2 linked regions of the Drosophila melanogaster genome follow. The protein of the gene in region 1 purifies or fractionates together with the protein of each later gene. This does not show direct contact. Each region holds a gene or a part of one and is shown on either strand. Other genes may lie near its edges.

Region 1 (10,234 bases):
TACCGAAAAACCTGAGGATGATACAACTGTAGAAGATTCAACACCGATTCCTGAGGAATCTACCACTGTCGCCCAGGACACAACTAATGATCCTGAAGGGAGCACCACGAGAGAGGAAGACACAACTGTTGCAATCGAGACAACTACCGAAAAACCTGAGGATGATACAACTGTAGAAGATTCAACACCGATTCCTGAGGAAACTACCACTGTCGGCCAGGAAACAACTTATGATCCTGAAGGGAGCACCACGAGAGAAGACGACACAACTGTTGCAATCGAGACAACTACCGAAAAACCTGAGGATGATACAACTGTAGAAGATTCAACACCGATTCCTGAGGAAACTACCACTGTCGCCCAGGAAACAACTTATGATCCTGAAGGGAGCACCACGAGAGACGACACAACTGTTGCAATCGAGACAACTACCGAAAAACCTGAGGATGATACTACGGCAGAAGGTTCAACACCGATTCCTGACACATCTACTACTGTTAACCAGGACACAACAACAGACGAAAGTAGCACTGTTGTGACTACGACGAATATTCCCAAGGAGAGCACAACGTTAGGCGATTCTACCCTATCACCGGGAGAAAACAGTACTGCAGGACAAGTTTCTACAAGTACCACGCTAGTATACGATACCACGAGTAGTCCAATTCCATCTTCCTCAAGATCCACAACCTTAGAACCCTCATCAAGTTCTTCCCCTGAAACCACAACTTCAAGTCTACCACCATTGTCTTGCAGTACCGGGTATCAATATTTACCCCATCCAACAAATTGTCATAAATATATTCACTGCAGCAACGGGCATGAACTAATTATGGAGTGCCCAGCTAATCTTTATTGGGACTATCATAAATTTGTTTGCAGTGGAGATTCAGGTGTTTGCTACAACGACACTGAAAATTCCAATCCAGAGGAGAAGGTTTGCGGACCTGGAGTGGATTTCCTTGCACATCCAACGGACTGCACCATGTATTTGCAGTGTAGTAATGGCGTGGCATTGGAGCGCAAGTGTCCAGATCCGCTGTATTGGAACCCGGAGATAAAGTCATGTGATTGGTCCAATAAATATTGCACAAATCTTCGGGCGAGTCAATCGATTTCTTGCGCAGCGGGCATGAATTTTAACGTTTTTCAAAGCGATTGCTCCAAATATGTCAAGTGTTTTGGCCTGAGAGGTGTTGTAATGAGCTGTAATTCAGGACTTTACTGGAATCCCGTTAGTCAAGTTTGCGAAAAGTCCCGGCGATTCTGCACATAAGAGTAAGTCCAATTAAAGTAGACAAAATTTTAATAAATAACATGCGGACACTTTTTTTCAGGAGCAGTGCAACGGCATTATTCATTGGACAATATTTACCTAAGAAATGAATAAAAAGATTGCGAATTATTAAAAATTTATTTATACTGTGGAAATTACAAATCGATTAATTAAAGTTAGCAAAATTATTAATATAATGAAACAGAAACTGAATGTTAAATTCCTATTGTTGTATATAAAAAAAAAAAAACACATTCAATCGCATTTTTATTTCACTGGGGTTTTTTTTTTAGATGATCTAAATAGATATTTTTGGATGCATGCAAATTTATTTCAATAGACTGAGACACTTTGGTAATGAACTACCCTATTGTTATAGAAACAAAAGGTAGTCTCAAATTCATCTCAAGGTGTTACAAAAAATTGGTCTCAATATAAATTCTTATTACGATGTAATAAAAATTTCATAGCACTTTATTCCCATTAAAATTGGAAAACAAGGTTAAAGATATTTTTAAGTGCAATTGTATCTAGTAAAATAAGTAATGGGTACACTGTAGCCGGATTATTTGCTTTCCACAGTTCCTAGGCCTTTTTCGTAGATCTTATCAATCTAGGTTTCAATTAAAAATATTACTAGCCTTGAAACACACCCCATACAGACGATGGGTATTCAAAAATTGAAAATTTAATGCTTCAGTTCAATTTAACACATGGTTTCATAGAAGCTCTTAGCAGATAAGGGTATAAAGCCGAATTCAACATTGAATGGGGGCTGGTAGAGACTGCTCTATATATAGATATGACGATGGGTAGTCTAAACAGAAAGCGAAAGCAAATAGTTAGTCTCAAAGGTTATCTGATTAAATTACTTCCGCCAATTTTTGATTTGTAGAAATAAATAAGTGGCTTGGGAAATCCAAAGCCCAATCGATAAAGCCTTCGCCAGATGCAAAGAGAGCACATACAAGTCAAGTGAATGAGTGTGGGCAGGGACACACTTGAAATGTATCCAAGAGATACACAATTGCGTATCTTTATATGCTAATAAATGCCAGTACATTTCCCTAAAATGGGTCAAAAGAGTCCCCCATCCGTTGGCATAGACTACGATGTTGTAATGCCCATAGAAACTCATTTGTCGAGGGGGACGTCAACGCGCCGCCCCTTCCATCGGCAGGCCAAGCCAGACCAAGTGATCGATTGACACGATCAAAGCGCTGATACGTAATGGAATAGACACTCGAATGAATAGCACTGGCGACGAGCTCCCAGCTCGGGCTCCAAGTGCCCTGATCCGCCTCACAGATACCAGCACTCTGCGCTGGTGTGGATCCTACATAAATATTCATGCTGGCCAAATGCAAATGTATTGGAAATTGCTCGCCTTCAATGAATTTGAGTTCTGCTCAAGCTCTAGAGTTTTGATGCTCGTACAGGGCAGCGTTATTCGCAATCCAGCAGTTGTCGCGATCGGAAGCAAATCGGAAAATCTCCATTGGATTCCTAGAACACGCAGCCGAAAAAGTATGTGCCTAGGATGTGTGCCCTCGCAGCAAGGACATAGAGCAAAAACAGCTCTCAAATACAAGGGATTAGTGAAGAAATAAGATAACAAAACATCCTATTAATTGTGCATTACGAAACGGATTACAACTTGTAGAGTTTTATTTGATAAAATTTAAATGTGAATTTCTATATGCAGTGAAATTGAAATCAACCAAAATACAGGACCTTATATCATTAGTAAATGGTCAAAAAGAACAATAAGTGTGTAAATTATAATGTGTGCAAACTAAGAATCTTGTACTAATCGAATCATTGACAACATCTAAACACAATTATGTGAAGATTAAATTTTCTTCCCAAATTTATTAAATATTTCTATATTCAAATATAAATATGTACATTCTGTAACAATTCATATTCGCCAGGATAATCACACAATTATCCTTTCGAAGTGTAAAGTGCTTATGTGACTTTCTTGTATTTTTTACATATAAAAATCAAAATAAAGATGTGAAAAGCGAAAGATATCAAAAAGGATATGTACATATGTATGATTTCAGACTACAAATTCAAACACGTTTGTGTCAAGAACTAAAATTCGAAACTTACATTAATCAGCCTTAGCGATTACATCACTCGCAAGACTGAAATATAACTCAAGATCGATTGCCTTTTTTTTGGCATCTAATAGCACAGCGTGCGTGCTCATTTTAAAGAAAAGTGATAACCTCTGAAAGTGACGGACAAGAAACACAGAGAAGGAGTATAAACTAATAATAACACGCATCTATATGGTGTATTGATAATACAATTCAATTTCATCTTACAGTTTGCTGGTTGTGTTGCCGCGACGTCGACGCCTTTCAATTGGATTCAGGGTTTAATTTATTGAAATGTTGCCCTTTCGCTTGGGCCTGCTACTTGGCGCCGTGCTATTCGTGGCAAGCGCAAATGGAGCTGCCATCGTAAGTTTCCGAATTGTTAATGAATCTCCCCGAGAATTGTTGCTTCTCTGTGTGTGTTGAATGGAACTAGAGTAGTGTAATGTAAATGAACTCGGTTCGAAAAGTAGGCGATAAGACATAATTTGACCAAGGTCAGTTTCTTACAAGCAGCATCTAATCGGGCACACTTGCACAGACCCTTTGAATGAATAAAGATTAGACTGACATTAGCATTGAATTTAAATCGATGTATTAACTTTCAGGAAAATGAGGTTTCTAGTCTGAACGACTTGCAGCGGGAAAAGAGAAGCGGCAGAGGCTAGTAAGTAGTTGGTTAACAACTATTTTGGACCAGATGGGCTTACTTCCTTTCCATGTTTATCCGCAGTTCGAGGGGACAAACCCAGTCTCAGTACTTAAATTTCGGTAAGCCTGAGGAGGATGGAAAGGCTGAGGCAGAGGCTACCGAAAATGGATCTCGCTCCACTGTGTGTGAGTACGGGTCAGATGAGATTCATTAGCACTTTGTCCATTGACCTCTTGACCTCTTTCAGCTGGCACCCATGGAATGGGTCAGGCTCAGAGCCAGTTCTCATCAGGGGACTGCAATGGATGTTCTGGCTACCAAACGGATTACCCTTCTTCAGGCAGAATTCTTGATGCTAGTGGATCCGGAGGCATCGGTAGACCCGATTCCATTATAAGCTTACCCGGAGGTGGTAAGTCGTATATAATCAAAATGTATACAGTTTGATATATGTTGCTCTCCCTGAAGTTGGCGGACAAACCGGAGCTGGACAAGCCGGATACGGAAGCCAACTTGGAGTTGGCGCTCAGGCCGGTGCCGGACAACCCGGATACGGTGACCAACCTGGAGTTGGCACTCAACCTGGAGTCGGACAGCCCGGATACGGAAGCCAACCTGGTATTGGCGGACAGACTGGAGCCGGACAGCCCGGATACGGAAGCCAACCTGGTATTGGCGGACAGACTGGAGCCGGACAGCCCGGATATGGAAGCCAACCTGTGGTTGGAGCTCAGACCGGAACCGGACAACCCGGATACGGTGCTCAACCTGGAGTTGGCACTCAGACTGGAGCCGGACAGCCCGGATACGGAAGCCAACCTGGTATTGGCGGACAGACTGGAGCCAGACAGCCCGGATATGTAACCCAACCTGGAGTTGGAGCTCAGACCGGAATCGGACAACCCGGATACGGTGCCCAACCAGGTATTCTTGGACAGACTGGAGCCGGACAGCCCGGATACGGCAGCCAGCCTGGTATTGGCGGACAGACTGGAGCCGGACAGCCCGGATATGGAACCCAACCTGGAGTTGGAGCTCAGACCGGAACCGGACAACCCGGATACGGTGCCCAACCTGGAGTTGGCACTCAGACTGGAGCCGGACAGCCCGGATACGGCAGCCAGCCTGGTATTGGCGGACAGACTGGAGCCGGACAGCCCGGATATGGAACCCAACCTGGAGTTGGAGCTCAGACCGGAGCCGGACAACCCGGATACGGTGCCCAACCTGGTGTTGGCGCTCAGACTGGAGCCGGACAGCCCGGATACGGAAGCCAACCTGGTATTGGCGGACAGACTGGAGCCGGACAGCCCGGATACGGAAGCCAACCTGGTATTGGCGGACAAACTGGAGCCAGACAGCCCGGATATGGAAGCCAACCTGGGGTTGGAGCTCAGACCGGAGCCGGACAACCCGGATACGGTGCCCAACCTGGTGTTGGCGCTCAGACTGGAGCCGGACAGCCCGGATACGGAAGCCAACCTGGTATTGGCGGACAGACTGGAGCCGGACAGCCCGGATATGGAAGCCAACCTGGGGTTGGAGCTCAGACCGGAGCCGGACAACCCGGATACGGTGCCCAACCTGGAGTTGGCGCTCAGACTGGAGCCGGACAGCCCGGATACGGCAGCCAGCCTGGTATTGGCGGACAGACTGGAGCCGGACAGCCCGGATATGGAACCCAACCTGGAGTTGGAGCTCAGACCGGAACCGGACAACCCGGATACGGTGCCCAACCTGGAGTTGGCACTCAGACTGGAGCCGGACAGCCCGGATACGGAAGCCAACCTGGTATTGGCGGACAGACTGGAGCCGGACAGCCCGGATATGGAACCCAACCTGGAGTTGGAGCTCAGACCGGAACCGGACAACCCGGATACGGTGCCCAACCTGGAGTTGGCACTCAGACTGGAGCCGGACAGCCCGGATACGGAAGCCAACCCGGATATGGAACCCAACCTGGAGTTGGAGCTCAGACCGGAACCGGACAACCCGGATACGGTGCCCAACCTGGAGTTGGCGGACAGACTGGAGCCGGACAGCCCGGATATGGAACCCAACCTGGTATTGGTGGACAGACTGGAGCCGGACAGCCCGGATACGGCAGCCAGCCTGGTATTGGCGGACAGACCGGTGGCGGACAACCCGGATACGGAAGCCAAATTGGCGGACAGACTGGAGCTGGACAGCCCAGCTATGGAAGCCAACCTGGAGTTGGAGCTCAGAATGGAGCCGGACAACCCGGATACGGTACCCAACCTGTTATTGGTGGACAGACTGGAGCCGGACAACCTGGATATGGAGGTCAAACTGGAGTCGGTGGATCGCCTGGATTTTTAACTCAGCCAGGTATTGGGGGTATAAGCGGACCGATTGGAGGGAAACTCGGTGGCGGACAATCAGAAGCCGCAAAACCTGGATATTGGGCTCAACCTGGAATTGGCGGACCATCCAGATACGGCAGTCAACCTGGAATTGGTGATCAGACCGGAACCGGACAGTCAGGATACGGCGGGCAGCCTGGAATTAGCGGACAGACCGGAGGCGGACAACCAGGATACGGAGGACAGGCTACAATAAGCGGACTCCCTGGGTATGGCACTCAGCCAGGAATTGGAGCACTAACCGCTGTTCCTGGCGGACATTATGGATACGAAACTCAGCCTGGAATTGGTGGACAGACCGGAACCAACCAACCCGGATTCGGTGGTCAACCTGGAATTGGCGGACAGACTGGAGCCGGCCAACCTGGATATGGATTTATAGGTCAGCCTGGTATTGGAGGGCAAACAGGAACTAGTGGAAGGCAACCCGGTTACGGAACCCAACCAGGAATTGGCGGACAGACTGCAGCCGGACAGCCCGGATATGGAAGCCAAACCGGAGTTGGCGGACAGATCGGAGCCGGACAGCCCGGATATGGAAGCCAACCTGGAATTGGCGGACAGACTGGAGCCGGACAACCCGGATACGGTGCCCAACCAGGTTTTGGAGGACAACCCGGATACGGAAACCAACCTGGAGTTGGCGGACAGACTGGTGCCGGACAGCCCGGATATGGAAGCCAACCTGGAATTGGCGGACAGACCGGAGCCGGACAACCCGGATACGGTGCCCAACCAGGTTTTGGAGGACAACTCGGATACGGAAACCAACCTGGAGTTGGCGGACAGACTGGAGCCGGACAGCCCGGATATGGAAGCCAACCTGGAGTTGGCGGACAGACTGGAGCTGGACAACCCGGATACGGTGTCATACCTGGATTTGGAGGACAACCTGGAATAGGCGGACAGACCGCCGCTGGAAAGCCCGGATACGGTGGTCAACCTGGAATTGGTGGATCACCTGTGTATGGAACACAGCAAGGAACTGGAGGTCAATCAGGAATTAGCGGTGGCCAACCCGGGTACGGAACTCAACCTGGACAAACCGGAGCCGGGCAACCCGGATACGGAAGCTTACCTGGAACAGGTGGTCAGGCCACAGCTGGCCAACCCGGATACGGACCCGGATCTCAACCCGGAATTGGCGGACAGACAGTTGGTGGGCACGGTGGATACGGTAGCCAACCCGGAATCGGTGGAGCGCCAGTTTATGGAACACAGCCAGGAGGTGGCGGCCAAACTGGAGTCATTGGAGGGCAGCCCGGACAGATCGGAGACAGAGTAGGACAACCAGGATACGGAACCCAGACAGGACAAATTGGGGCACCAGGTCGATATACAGATGGAAGTCAAACTGTACCTGGTGCTGTTGGCACCGGTGGAGTTGGTAAGTAGCTATCAAGGCGGTGGAAAACAATGTTTTGAATTGCTCGTTTCCCAGTTGCTGCCGGTACCAGCGGAGCTGACGATGCCTTCTCCCAAGCCGAGTCATCAATTGGCGACGGACAAGCGTCGGCAAGTGCTCAGGGCAAGAAGAATGGAGGCACGGCCAAGACTCAGGTGTCGGGAACTTACAGCTCCGGCGGAACCTTTAGCGCCAGTGCAATGACGTCCGATGCTGATCGTGCGGCCAGTGCACAGGTTACCGGAAATGCTGATGGAGCCGTGAGTCAGTCTCAGGGATCGGGAGGTCCTGCCCAGTCGCAGGCCCAGGTACAGGTTGCCAAGGACGGCGGCACCAAGGCCTCGTCGCAGAGCGGTGGCATCATCCAACAGAGCCAGAGCGAGGTTCACGCCAATGACAAGGGCGGCCTGGCGGACGCCCAATCGAGCGGACCCGGACAAACCTCCTCCCAGGCCCAGATCGGTTTCCGACCCGGCCAGGAGGCCAATCCTATAGCAGCTAATGGTGGCGGCCAGGCATCGTCCTCATCTGGCACTCATTCCAGTCAGAGTAGCTCGCAGATTCACGGAACATCGAGGTAACATTGCTATAGGATTATTGATTATTGACTTTAGCCACTCATTATTGGTTTTGTATTTCAGCTTTGGTGTTTCTTACCATGGTGCTGCACAATCCGCGTCGGGAACCAAAGAGCAGGTTGCTACTTACAGGGAAGCAAACAGGGAACTCTTCAATACCATCAGTCAGTTTGGCAACAACGCAAATGCGTAAGTAATCGGAAAAGTGAAGAAAGAAAGAAAAACATGTTTTGGGCTATTTAAAAAAAGGGATAACGTATGCTTCTGTGGTTTTTAAATTGGCAAAATATGTTCAAAATTGATTTCGAAAAGTCACACACTTTAGCTCAATCAATTTATTGTGATTTTATAACTGCCATGCCTTTATGGAATTCTTTAGCATAAAACGTATTCATTTTTGTATACTTTTTGAGGTTATTTATGTTGGATACATAAACGAATAAATCCTTTAAAATTTCTAACTACTTTTGCTTACTTACTTTTCAAATGGGAAGTGCGTGCCTCTGTAAAATTTATACGATTGTATTTTATTTTCTTTTCTTTAACTTTCAACTTCCAGTGTTACTGATCGAGCTGATGCTGTCTACAGTGGACCCGCGCTTACTGATGAGTCCGACAGGGTGCCAGAGGCGCAACTGAAGTCCACCAAGCCCAAGGAGGAAGCGGAGCAGGTAGTGAGTAAGCTAGACCACCCGGAGCCCGTTCAGTACGATGATGAAGATGAGGCCGATCCTGATGAATACGATGAGGATGAGTACTATGAGGAGAAGCCAGTGAAGCTAGAGGAATCCCCAAAGTCGTCCACCATAGTGGCACCAACCGAGGCAACACCTAGGCCCAAGACCTACAACCAGTCATCACCCACGCAAAGCCAACAGACAGTCGTGGTGCCGGTGCCGGGTGAAAAGTATCAGGTGGTGCAAAAGCAGAACGGTAAAGCCACCATCAATGCAGAGCCCTCGACCACCGAGGCCATACCACCGGGATTCCGAGGAACCGTAAATGTGGAAAAGAAGTTCCACACCAAGGCCCTGGAGCTGCACGCTCCCAAAGGAGTAGAGATCACACCCGACACCAGCGACGAGGGTCCGGTCCGGGGTGACAAGCCGCTACGGCGTGCTCCTGATAGCTACGTCACCGTCACCAAGTCAGTGACAGGCAGCATGGACAACACAAAGAACCCACCGCAGGAGAACAAGAACTTCCAGTCGACCTATTACACCAAGTCCTCGACCTGCGGCTATTTCACCTTCTCTTGCAACATTGTCTACGGCGCCAATGGAAGGAGCAAGATCTGCCGTCCCAAGGCGCCCACCAATGGAAAATGCTAGGGGAGCATAATACACATCCCTCTAACCACACCACCACACCCATATTATAGTAGATCAGTTCCAGAGGGGCTCAATTTTAGAACAGCTTAACCAACTGCCATCTACAAACCACCTATTTGTATTTTGATGCAGCTTGCTCTTGAGCACTTAAGTGTTTTTTCGCATACAATTAAACGGTTTCACTGCCAATTCTTGAATATTTTGTACGATTTGCAACTGTAATTAATATTTAATAACAAAACACAATATGAAAAAGAGAATTTTGTTTCGTTATCTTAATTCCGGAACTGCTTGTGCGATGTTGTTTCAGAAAACCCTCTAAACACACATCTTATCGCATGTAAGGAGCTGAGAATTCCAATAGAGATATTGCGGGCAGCACATTACGAAGGGTAAATAATCACACCGAATAAACTTGGTGCAATCCGCTGGGTAGGGTATTAGCTGGTTGAGCTTATTCTCGCATAGTTTCGTAAGATCGGAATTTTCTGGTTCTTTAA
Region 2 (10,098 bases), on another chromosome or scaffold:
GGAGCAGCGTCCGTAACCCACATGCTGAAGCAAATAAGACAAATATATCGAGATGGCAATCAAGAGCCGATTCCGTACTTTAAACTGATTTGCAATCCAAACAATTTTATGGACACCGTTCAGAACGCTTTGCAACTGTCGTTTCTTGTCAAGGAGAACTATATTTCCATCGAAAATGGCGAGGATGGTTTGCCATTGGTTCGCGTTGTGAATTCCAAATCGGTCGAAGGAAACGCACCGTCCCAGGCTATTTGTTCCATCGATGTTACCTTTTGTGAGGTTCGTATTTCAATTATTGTTTAAAGCATTATAATTGATATGATTTAAATTACAGAAAATGGTAAAGCACTACAACCTACATGAGCCAATGTTAAAAAGACTTCCGGTTAGTGAGAAATAGATATATCACTTAGTTCATATTAATAGTTTATATTGTTATTAATAAAACACATAGAACGTTTAAAGTTACTCATGTACGGCATAAATAATCGGGTAATTGAAAGTGTTCTTTCCCCCAAACATTAAGTAATTAACGTAATATCAACACAAAATCATTAAATGAATTTTATTACTCAAGCAGTTACTTCATAGTTCAAACACTTCCCCCAATATTTTACTACGAATCCGCCCCTGCCATTATGTCAATTTTTATGACCGCCTACAAATTGTGAAATATGTAGAAGGGGCACTTGTGAAGTTATAGCAATATAAAATGTATGTATGTTATATTTAGGAACTAAATATTAGTTAAGTTGTTTACTTATAACTTTAACCAGTTTCGGATTATGTTCTTAATCCGTTTTTCCTGGTCTCAATGGGTGGCATACCAAGAATTAAACAAATAAATTACTTTGCAGAGTGGAATAATGAATGAATGAATGATTGGTCCATTAATTAAAAAATCACTCCTGTGCTCGAAATTAGTGCACTTTCCGTTGCACAGCGGCTTTTAATTGAATTCCGTTAACTTAATTCCACAAAGAGAAATTAAGATTAATTAAGATTTATTGCACAATGAAGCTTAGGGTTAATTGCATCTTTGCGGTCGACGGAGTTTAAAAGGCTTTCTATGGAGTATAGCCTTTTCTAAGAGATCAGTGCTTCTATTCAAACTGGATGTAGTAGATCAAGTTACTCGATGCACTATTGTCTGAGATTTTGGGGCTTTCAACTTCATGTGGGCGAAGAGAGTTGACCCAAGTGCAGGAAACTAAGCTAATGTGTAATTATATATAAAACCAAAATGAAGATTTATTGCTCCATATCAGCATAGCAACAAACGACCCAATTAATAGCCACCCAATCTTCAAAATACAAAATTAATGATGCACAAGCGCAGTTTCAATAAGTTGCCAAGTTGGGTTTGTCTTAGTAAATTCCATTGAAGAATTCTACTTCTATGAAAAACTTAGTAAATGCATTATGCTACTATGAGTTTGAGCAAAGAGAAAATAGTTTTTTTTTAACTGGAAAATTATTGAAAAAATGTATTGTTTTTATGCATATGCTGCAATATGTTTTTATTTCAAAAAAACAATTTAGCTTTAAATTTTATCTATTTCAAAGTTTTCTTATTTTGCAAGCAAACTTTTTAAGTTCTTGCCATTTTGGGAGCCTTCTTCTCTTAGTTTCTGTGTGGGAAGCTTAAGTCCGGATTCAGTTCTGCTAAATTATAACCAATTTGGACTCCATAAATTTCCTTGGATCACTTTCGCATTAAGCGTTTGCGTAAGGTTCGAATGTACATTTGTTCTCGCATTGATATTCCGCTGAAAGCTACATAAAGTTAAATGCATACATATGCAGAGACATCACCCACATTATTGTAACTCACCCGTGGTCACAGGCACACCTGCGGTCAGCTAAATAGCATCACTGAATTTTAGATGAAGTGTGAACTATATAGGGTTCTTATTTGTCTTGCCAAAAGCAGTATGATATTAATGAGTAGCAATTGTTTACCTTGATTTAAAATGAAATATATTTAATAAATTGTTTACCCCTTATATTTAACTGGAAAAAGGTCAGTTAAGAATATGATTATAAATAAAGGTAAAAGAGGAAGAAAAAAAGTTATTCATGCTGCTTTATAGACTTAAGCGAACTAAGAGCCTTTCTAGCTCTAAACTATACAGCTTATGCTAAAATCTAAATTTAAAATATTTATAAATAATTTTCGTATCTTGTAACTCAAACTTAGTTTCGCTACTTTTTCGACCATAGCTGTGCTGTGGATGTGCGCCTATCTGTATGTACGCACGTTTGGCTCCAGACTTTTGGGTGGCGCTGGCAATCGACTCCATGCCCATGTGAGTGCTGTGGTTGGGGCTTGGTGAGATGGGTCCCCACTCCTCCGCCTCCTCCCGGTGGAAATCGGGGAGCCACGGGTGCCGTTGTTAGCACCACTCGATCGCCAGAGCTGCGCTGATGCTAGCGGCGCGCTCTGCCTCCAGCACTTTTGTTCCCAAAGCGGCTTTCCCGAAAATTCAGTTCGGATTTCAGTTTGGATTTGAGTACCACGCGATGAAGACGACGGCTTCAATTAATCCAGAATTAGGCGTGCAGTGATACACGGGGTGCTACATATATAGATATATATTTTTTGCAAATATATAAATCAAGCGAATAACTAATATTAGAAAATTGCAAAATCCCTGTGCTTGCTTGTTGAGTGATTTTGTTACAACATTTAAGCGAAGATCCTTTTGATCCTTTTAGTTAAGAGCCAAATTACGAAACATATAAATTTAAATAACTAATTTAATTTAATTTAATTTAATCATTTTAGTGAGCGTAACGAAAAAGTAAGGTTTTCCGATAATTGATCGTTTTGAGTGACATGTCCTTTTCTTTTTTTTTGAAAACCTTTTCAGTGAACCCTTATCTTCAACAATTGTTCGGTTTGTTAACTCTTCAAAGGTCCGAAGACATTTTGAATATGGGCTTAATTGCATTTTGGGGGAAATGCGTATAATTGATTCGGGTTTTTCGTTGTGGGACAAACCAATTCACCTCAATCACATCTGTCCGATGACAGTAATCACTCAAGCACTGAATGCATAATGAAAGAAAGCCCTCTGTCGATGGAGTTTTTTAATTTATCTCGAAAAAAACCCCCAACATTATTTTGCACGCCTTAAATGTGGCAGCGTAATTGCAGTCATTTCCAGATTTTAGGATCGATCGGATAATAATAATACAGGCAGTGAGCCGCAAAGGCAGTTGTCCAAATCTAAAAAGTGAAATCGAATGACAGGCACACTAGTATTTTTTCTTCATAGATTTCAATTTAATTTAAACAATCCCATCTGCGCGCACACACATGTTTCAAAATAGTTTCCCGTTTTGCTAATTGCGGAAGTTTCACATGTAATTTATGGCAAAGCGAAGCGTCAATGACGAAATACAAGAATGCCCAGAAAATATGACATATGTATCAAAATATTTTGGTGCCCCCATGTAATTTGCCTTCTCTCGAAACGATTGAACATTTTTCCAAACACTTCAGTTTAATGCAAGTTCTTCATAATATCCGCACTCTTCGAATTGAGTGTTTTCGAGTTCAGTGGCATGCTGAAGTGCTAATGCCATTGCAACACACATGGGCAAATGCAGTTTCAAATGCAACGATTGGCTCAAAATGGCCCTATTGACACAGTTAAGTAGGCAAAGTCCATTGTGACATTAGGAACTCGCATACCCGCCAACTTGTACACTTCTAGGGTATGCAATTGCCGCTCCACGAATGTGTGTCACTGGCGGCAGAGCACTTTGCTCTTTATAAGGAATCCAGAAATGCTAACAACATAACATAGTACATACACACATACAACACTATGATAAGACATTAAAGCTAAGATTTCATGTATCTTATGTTTAAAAAGCTGGGATCTAACAAAGCATCCATGCCAAGTTCCTTTAGTTATTGTCAAAATATATAGGTTTATATCCTTTCAGAAGATGTTATACATAAGAACCTAGCTTTAGGCGAAAATTCCTAAGTCACAGCTTGAGAACCAAACTGATTTATATATAATTATATAACATATTTGTGCGTATTTGTAGTATACGCAATAGTTGTGTGCTCATACATATGTAGCTCCAAAATGTTGAGTGGGTGTGGAGGCTTCTAATGAAATACGCCCTTCCCATTTTTGTTCACGGATGTTGGTAGTGTATGCTATTTGCTACATTGCTATATGCTATATGCTATATGCTGCCGAAAGTACATCCATTCCAGTCGAATAGTCACGCTCGGTTTAATCGTAATCAATGAAAATAATGGAACTTGAGTTCCTCTGTCCCGAGCTGCTAATACAAGCCTCTACATGCGTACTGGCAAACATTAAAGATCGCTTAAAAATAGCTAGCGAATTTATCTAAAAGTACATAGAGAAATAATCTAAATATATGTAGCTTGTTAAATATTAGGCTGTGGTCTCTGGGAATTCTTTAAGTATGGCACACGTTTTAGTTTTTGGATAATTTGTAATTGTAATTAAATGTATCTCCCTGACTTTTACAGGCTTAGAAATGGCGAAGCTGTTGTTAATATTCAGGTAAGAAAATAGTATCTCAAACCGATGTGTAGCTCAACCTAAAAAAAAAAACGAATTCATGGATTTTTCAATAGATACAAATTTGATAGCACAAAAAGTGGGCGGGGTGAACATCTTGCTCAGCTGGATTTAATCAAGATTTGTTTGCCCTGCCGCCGAACAGTGGCTCGTTTTCACAGAAAACGTTGTAAAAAGTGTAGATCTAGATACTTCAAAGAAGTTTTTTTGCCTTTAAGATTGCATTGCTGTGTTCGGAATCAATCGGAAGTGATTCAGAGATGAGATGGAACTGATGAAACATTCAATTTCCGCTCTTAAAATATTCTCCTTTGCACACAAATATTGTATTTTTATTTTATTTAATTCTGTTTACAGTATTCTTACAATTCTCGCAACGATACACGATTCTAGTTTTGTGCAGGCGGATTTAACAACTAAAGAGCGAATTAAGGTAGGACCTTCCTTATAAACAATAAACTTTAAAATCGAATTAATCTAATTACTGATTCGAACTCATTCATTACGTTCAATGCCCATTTAAAGTGTTATTATAAATTATCACTTTTGAAAAATATGTCATGTTGGTGTTGATAAGCTAGAACTTTAATTAATGTCAAACTAATAGTGCTGTAAATAGTGCTGTCATAAATTTGTTGTAAAGTGCTTTAATGTGTTGTCATAAATTGATGAAATCATGTTTATTATTTTGATTTTTGCTCACAGAAACATCAGGATTGGCTCAGAGAGCACCGAAAACCTAAAACGAAAAAGAAAATCTCAATTAACTCATATTATGAGCTGGCAAACTTGTGGCATACGAGAAAGGATCTATCATCACCCAAGCAAAAACCGAATAATAAGGAGGAATACTTGGAGAACGAGACAACTAGTAAAATATCCAATAAATCCGATGAAAAAGTATTAAAGTCATCAACGATAATATCATTAAATGCCACCAATCCAAGTACATCGACTTTCAAATCCGTTCTGGAAACCACTACATTACCAAGTGTGACTACCAAGGATCTCTTTGAAAGTGGCAATGTTGCGACCACAAGACAGACTCCGAAAGTCGAGGAGGTGTTCTCGTCTCCCAATCCACCGCAAGAAGCAACTTCGTCAACTTCAAAAAAGGCGAAAAAGAAGGTGTATCCATATCCACGTTGGGACAAATGGAGTGACTGGAGTTCCTGCTCCCGAAGTTGCGGTGGTGGCGTTAAGTATCAGGTTAGGAAATGCATCAATCGGTGAGTTATACTAATACTACTGCTTAAGATATATAGGTTATTGGTTATATATATATATATATATATATATGCGCTCATAACCCTACAGTTTGCCTTCATTAGCATGTTTTGGGATAATATCTCTAAGCACTCTACTCTTTTACCGATTTCAGTAACCTATTGACGAATAATCAGCTTACGAGTAATGCATGTGTCGGTTACTTTAAACGCTATCAACTGTGCAATGATGTGCCATGCGACGAACAATCCCCAGATTTTCGGGCCTCCCAATGCTCGGCTTACAACGATAAAGAGTTTCATGGTCATCGATATAGGTGGGAACCTTATGTCAAGGGTATGTGCATTTATGATCTGTAATATGGTTTTATTCGAAACAAAGTAAAAGAACTAGATATTAGCTCACCAAAAAATATCTAGATATAATTCATTTTAAGTCCCACAATCTATTAACAAGTTTAAACACTTTGAATTTGTTTATAATAATTTATAGATGACGCTGAATGCGAACTGAACTGTATGCCATTCGGAATGAAATCATTTGCCACACTAAACGAATCCGTAATTGATGGAACTCCATGTGGACATCCAGCTGAATATTTTAGATCGCAATTTTGGGAGCGCGCTGTTTGTGTTGATGGAGCTTGTAAGGTTAGTAAATTTAAATAAACAATAATAATGCTAGAATAATACAGCAATGATGACTTGATCTTATAGATTTTTTTAAAAATTTTTATTGAAATTTAAAATAAGATAATTGTGCCACCACCAGCAACAGAGCAACTAACGATCGCACATTAAAAGCACTCATTTTTCGATACTAGAGCTTTTTCAAGTACAAGAATCGCATTGAAAACTTAGTATTGGTTTTACATTGAATCAAAAAGCACGCAGCATATAAAGTGATTCGTAATGAAATTCAAACAATCAATATAAAGACATTTCGACGTAAATAAAGTGTTAAGGCAAACTTAATTTTAACCTTGATTTATGTTTTCAGTCTCTCAAACTATAAGCTTCAAAGACTGCATATTTAAATGGCATTGAAACTGTTAATCAGTTAATGAAATTTGTGATATATCAAATAAAAGATATAATTGATCGTTTCCCTTTTTTTTTACTTGATTTGCGTTACAATTTAATTTGCATTACTGATTGAAACCCTTTTAACCTGTTTTATTTAATTAAGTATAGTTTTTGCAAGGCTCTAAATTTCAAATTGATTCTTGAGAAGCGGAATAGGTCAGCAAATCAAAGTGGAAATAATTTTGTGAAAGCAAAAAACTGGAATAAGTCCAATGAGCTTAATTTCAATGAATTATTTTAGTAAACACATTGCCGCAGTTGTGCGTACAGAAAGTCGATCCAAAAAGCAATTGCTTATAGAACATATGCCCCTTAATATGGCTGACTGAATGTATTTTGTACTCATTTATTTTGTTGTTTATCTTGTATGCTTAATAAGTGGCCAATAAATAATGTTTTTGCAAAGCCCACGAATTCCACTCGTACGAATATTACCCTGAACTTACCATATATAAAGGCGTATTCTTAGTATTCCCCTGCAGAAGCTGTAGATAGTTTTTGTGGATTGGATCGATATAAAGAATAATCAATGTTTTAAATATATATGTAGATAAAGTAGTTGAAAAATTAACAGATATGATAGCATTATTGCCCTTGCTGTTGCTGGTGAGTAAGCATTATAGTTATAACGATCTATAATATGGATTATAAAAACTATATTTAAGGCAGTGCAAGCCAGTGGCGAAATCGATGGATTGTATGCGCACAGTGGATCCGTGAGCTGTGGTGGATTACTTTGCCGGCCAGTTACGGGCATCTTTACCAGAAATCCTCTGCCGGAACATGCCTATATACATGTTACCACATTGCCAGTGGGTGCCTCCAATATTTCGATAACTGAACTTAAGAATAGCATCAACTTGCTGGGTAATACATATTTTGATATTGCATAATAATACGTTTGATTATCAAATCTCTTTCGTGGAATTCCAGTCCTGCGCACCTCCAATGAGCTGGCCATTTTCAATGGAGAGAACACTGTCTCGGAGAGCGGATCCTACGAAGCGGTTGGTGCTGTCTTCGATTATCATCGAATCGACGGAGCTGAGGACAGCAATGGGGTGACCGAGTGGATAACGAGTATTGGACCCATTCGGGATTCATTGCAACTTATGGTAGAGCCCCACATATAAATCTCTTAATAGACTTCTATATAATTTAAATACTTTCCTTTAGGTTTTCACCAAGTCAGCCAATAATACTGGCGTGAAGTACGAGTACATGCTGCCCATAGTATCCGAGTCCGAGGAGAACGAGATGTCGCTGGAGAGCAGCGATGGCCTGTTGAGATCCGGTATGGAGGACACCAGTTCATCCAGTAGCTCGCGGGCGGGACGCAAACGTATTTTTAATTGGAAAGTAATTGGGTTCAGTAGTTGCACGAAATCCTGTGGCGGCGGCACGCAGACACCCATCATCCGTTGCATTCGAAAGAATCCATTGCGGTATTACTCGCAGCGACGTTGCACGCATTCCGTGAAACCGGTGTTGAACGAGAACCTATTGCACTGCAACACGCAACCCTGTCCGGCGTATTGGAGATTTGACGATTGGGGCGAGTGTCGCTGCTCGTCGAGCGGCGGTCTGCGTCGCAGGGAGGTTAGCTGTGTCCAGGAATTGGCTTCCGGACTGGTCATACACGTCGATAAGGCCGCCTGCATGGAGGATCAGCCACCCATGCAGAAACAGTGCGAATGTCCCAAGAATAGGCGACGCAATTTATCCCGATACCGCCTGTCTGGTCCTTCGGAATCCTCATCGAATAGCAGCCAAGTGAAGAGGAGCAAAATCGATGGCAGCGACGCCACGGCCATTTGGTTGGTGTCCGATTGGAATCAGTATTGTTCGGTCACCTGCGGTTCGGGCGTTGAGTATCGTACCGTATTCTGTGATCGCTCCAAGGCCGGCGAGCAGAGATGTGATCCTAGCACCACTCCGGAAAGTCGTCGTCCCTGCGAGAAGCCCGCCTGCGAGTTGGGTGATTGGTTCACTGGTCCGTGGTCATCGTGCAATGGCGATTGTTTCGACCTGACACGCACCCGCGAGGTGCTGTGCATCCGTAGCCAGCTGATTACGGAGCACAGCGAGTGTACGCCGGAGCTGAAGCCGCAATCCGTTGAGAAGTGCTCCCACGAGGAGGTGGAGTACTGCGCTGCCCGTTGGCACTACTCGGATTGGTCGGAGGTAGCCAGATACTTGATTTGATTTGTGATGCAGTTACTATATCCGCTTGCATTCGTTTATTGCAGTGTACCAAACCATGTGGCGGTGGAACCCAGCGACGCAGTGTGAGATGCTTGGAGTACGACATCAAGATGAACGCCTTGCGGGAATCAACGCATTGTCGGTACACCAACAGGGAGCCCATATATCGCAATTGCAATGTGCAAGCGTGTGCAGGTGGGTTTCTACTTGGAATATTTAGTTAAATTTATATATTTACTATATTATTTACTTTTACAGAAGTTCCGAAAACTGAAGTGACTCCAGTCTGTGCGGATAAGTTCTCTAATTGCCAGTGGGCTTCGCAGGCAAAGTTATGTAGCTACGATTATTATCGCGATAATTGTTGTTTTTCCTGCACGGGTGGCATTTAAAGTTCGTAGTTCGTAAGACTCTTAATTAATTTATAAAACGATTATTTAACCGCCGTGCAGAATAGCTAAAAAAACAAATATTATCAAGCTTTACCCCACGCATTTGACATTTTGTTAACTCTAGAACTTAGTATTTCTGACACTAAAGCTCAAAAAAAAAGCTTGCAGGGAAATGCAAAAGTTAAAAAATATCGATCGAAAAGAATGTATTAACGCAAATCAATAACAACATACTAAAGTAAACTAGATAAAGACTAAAACATATTATTTAGTGAAATTATCATATTCTTAAACGTAACATTAAGAAACGAGAAACGATGTTGTTTCATACGCAACCATATGAATTTCAATAAAACAGAGATTAAATGAAGGCCTTTACTTTATTAATGTTGTAAATATTAAACAAAGCATTAGTTTATTCTTACAGGGTGTAACCCAATATTTGAAAGACTATTCTAATTGTAAAGAAGTATATAACTTCAACAAAGCCCAGAACACTAAATCCCAGGAAAAGTCCGGCTGTTCCGCCAATCGAAACTAATAATTAAATTAATTAAAAATTAAAGAAACTATTAAACTATGTAATTAGTTACCCAAAAGATCGGTCAGTGA

The links.
Region 2: the proteins of prc (region 1) and loh purify together in Drosophila melanogaster (affinity purification with western blotting; one study listed by BioGRID). This does not show direct contact.

The regions. Positions count from the first base shown.
Region 1 is NT_037436.4:11,958,622-11,968,855, reverse strand, and holds prc (pericardin), read left to right. Parts: upstream 1-2,724; 5' UTR 2,725-2,803; intron 2,804-3,614; 5' UTR 3,615-3,678; coding exon 3,679-3,750; intron 3,751-3,992; coding exon 3,993-4,051; intron 4,052-4,117; coding exon 4,118-4,221; intron 4,222-4,283; coding exon 4,284-4,448; intron 4,449-4,504; coding exon 4,505-7,807; intron 7,808-7,861; coding exon 7,862-8,402; intron 8,403-8,466; coding exon 8,467-8,592; intron 8,593-8,962; coding exon 8,963-9,734; 3' UTR 9,735-9,984; downstream 9,985-10,234. Other genes in the region: Muc68E (mucin 68E), read left to right, coding at 1-1,276; CG43294 (uncharacterized protein), read right to left, coding at 10,053-10,234.
Region 2 is NT_033779.5:10,440,227-10,450,324, forward strand, and holds loh (lonely heart), read left to right. Parts: upstream 1-2,498; 5' UTR 2,499-2,576; intron 2,577-4,525; 5' UTR 4,526-4,533; coding exon 4,534-4,559; intron 4,560-4,934; coding exon 4,935-5,010; intron 5,011-5,282; coding exon 5,283-5,806; intron 5,807-5,958; coding exon 5,959-6,140; intron 6,141-6,296; coding exon 6,297-6,454; intron 6,455-7,409; exon of another isoform or gene 7,410-7,465; coding exon of another isoform or gene 7,466-7,495; intron 7,496-7,554; coding exon 7,555-7,756; intron 7,757-7,822; coding exon 7,823-8,004; intron 8,005-8,065; coding exon 8,066-9,073; intron 9,074-9,138; coding exon 9,139-9,289; intron 9,290-9,352; coding exon 9,353-9,486; 3' UTR 9,487-9,854; downstream 9,855-10,098. Other genes in the region: Nse4 (Non-SMC element 4), read left to right, coding at 1-279, 335-400; ppk10 (pickpocket 10), read right to left, coding at 9,908-10,023, 10,080-10,098.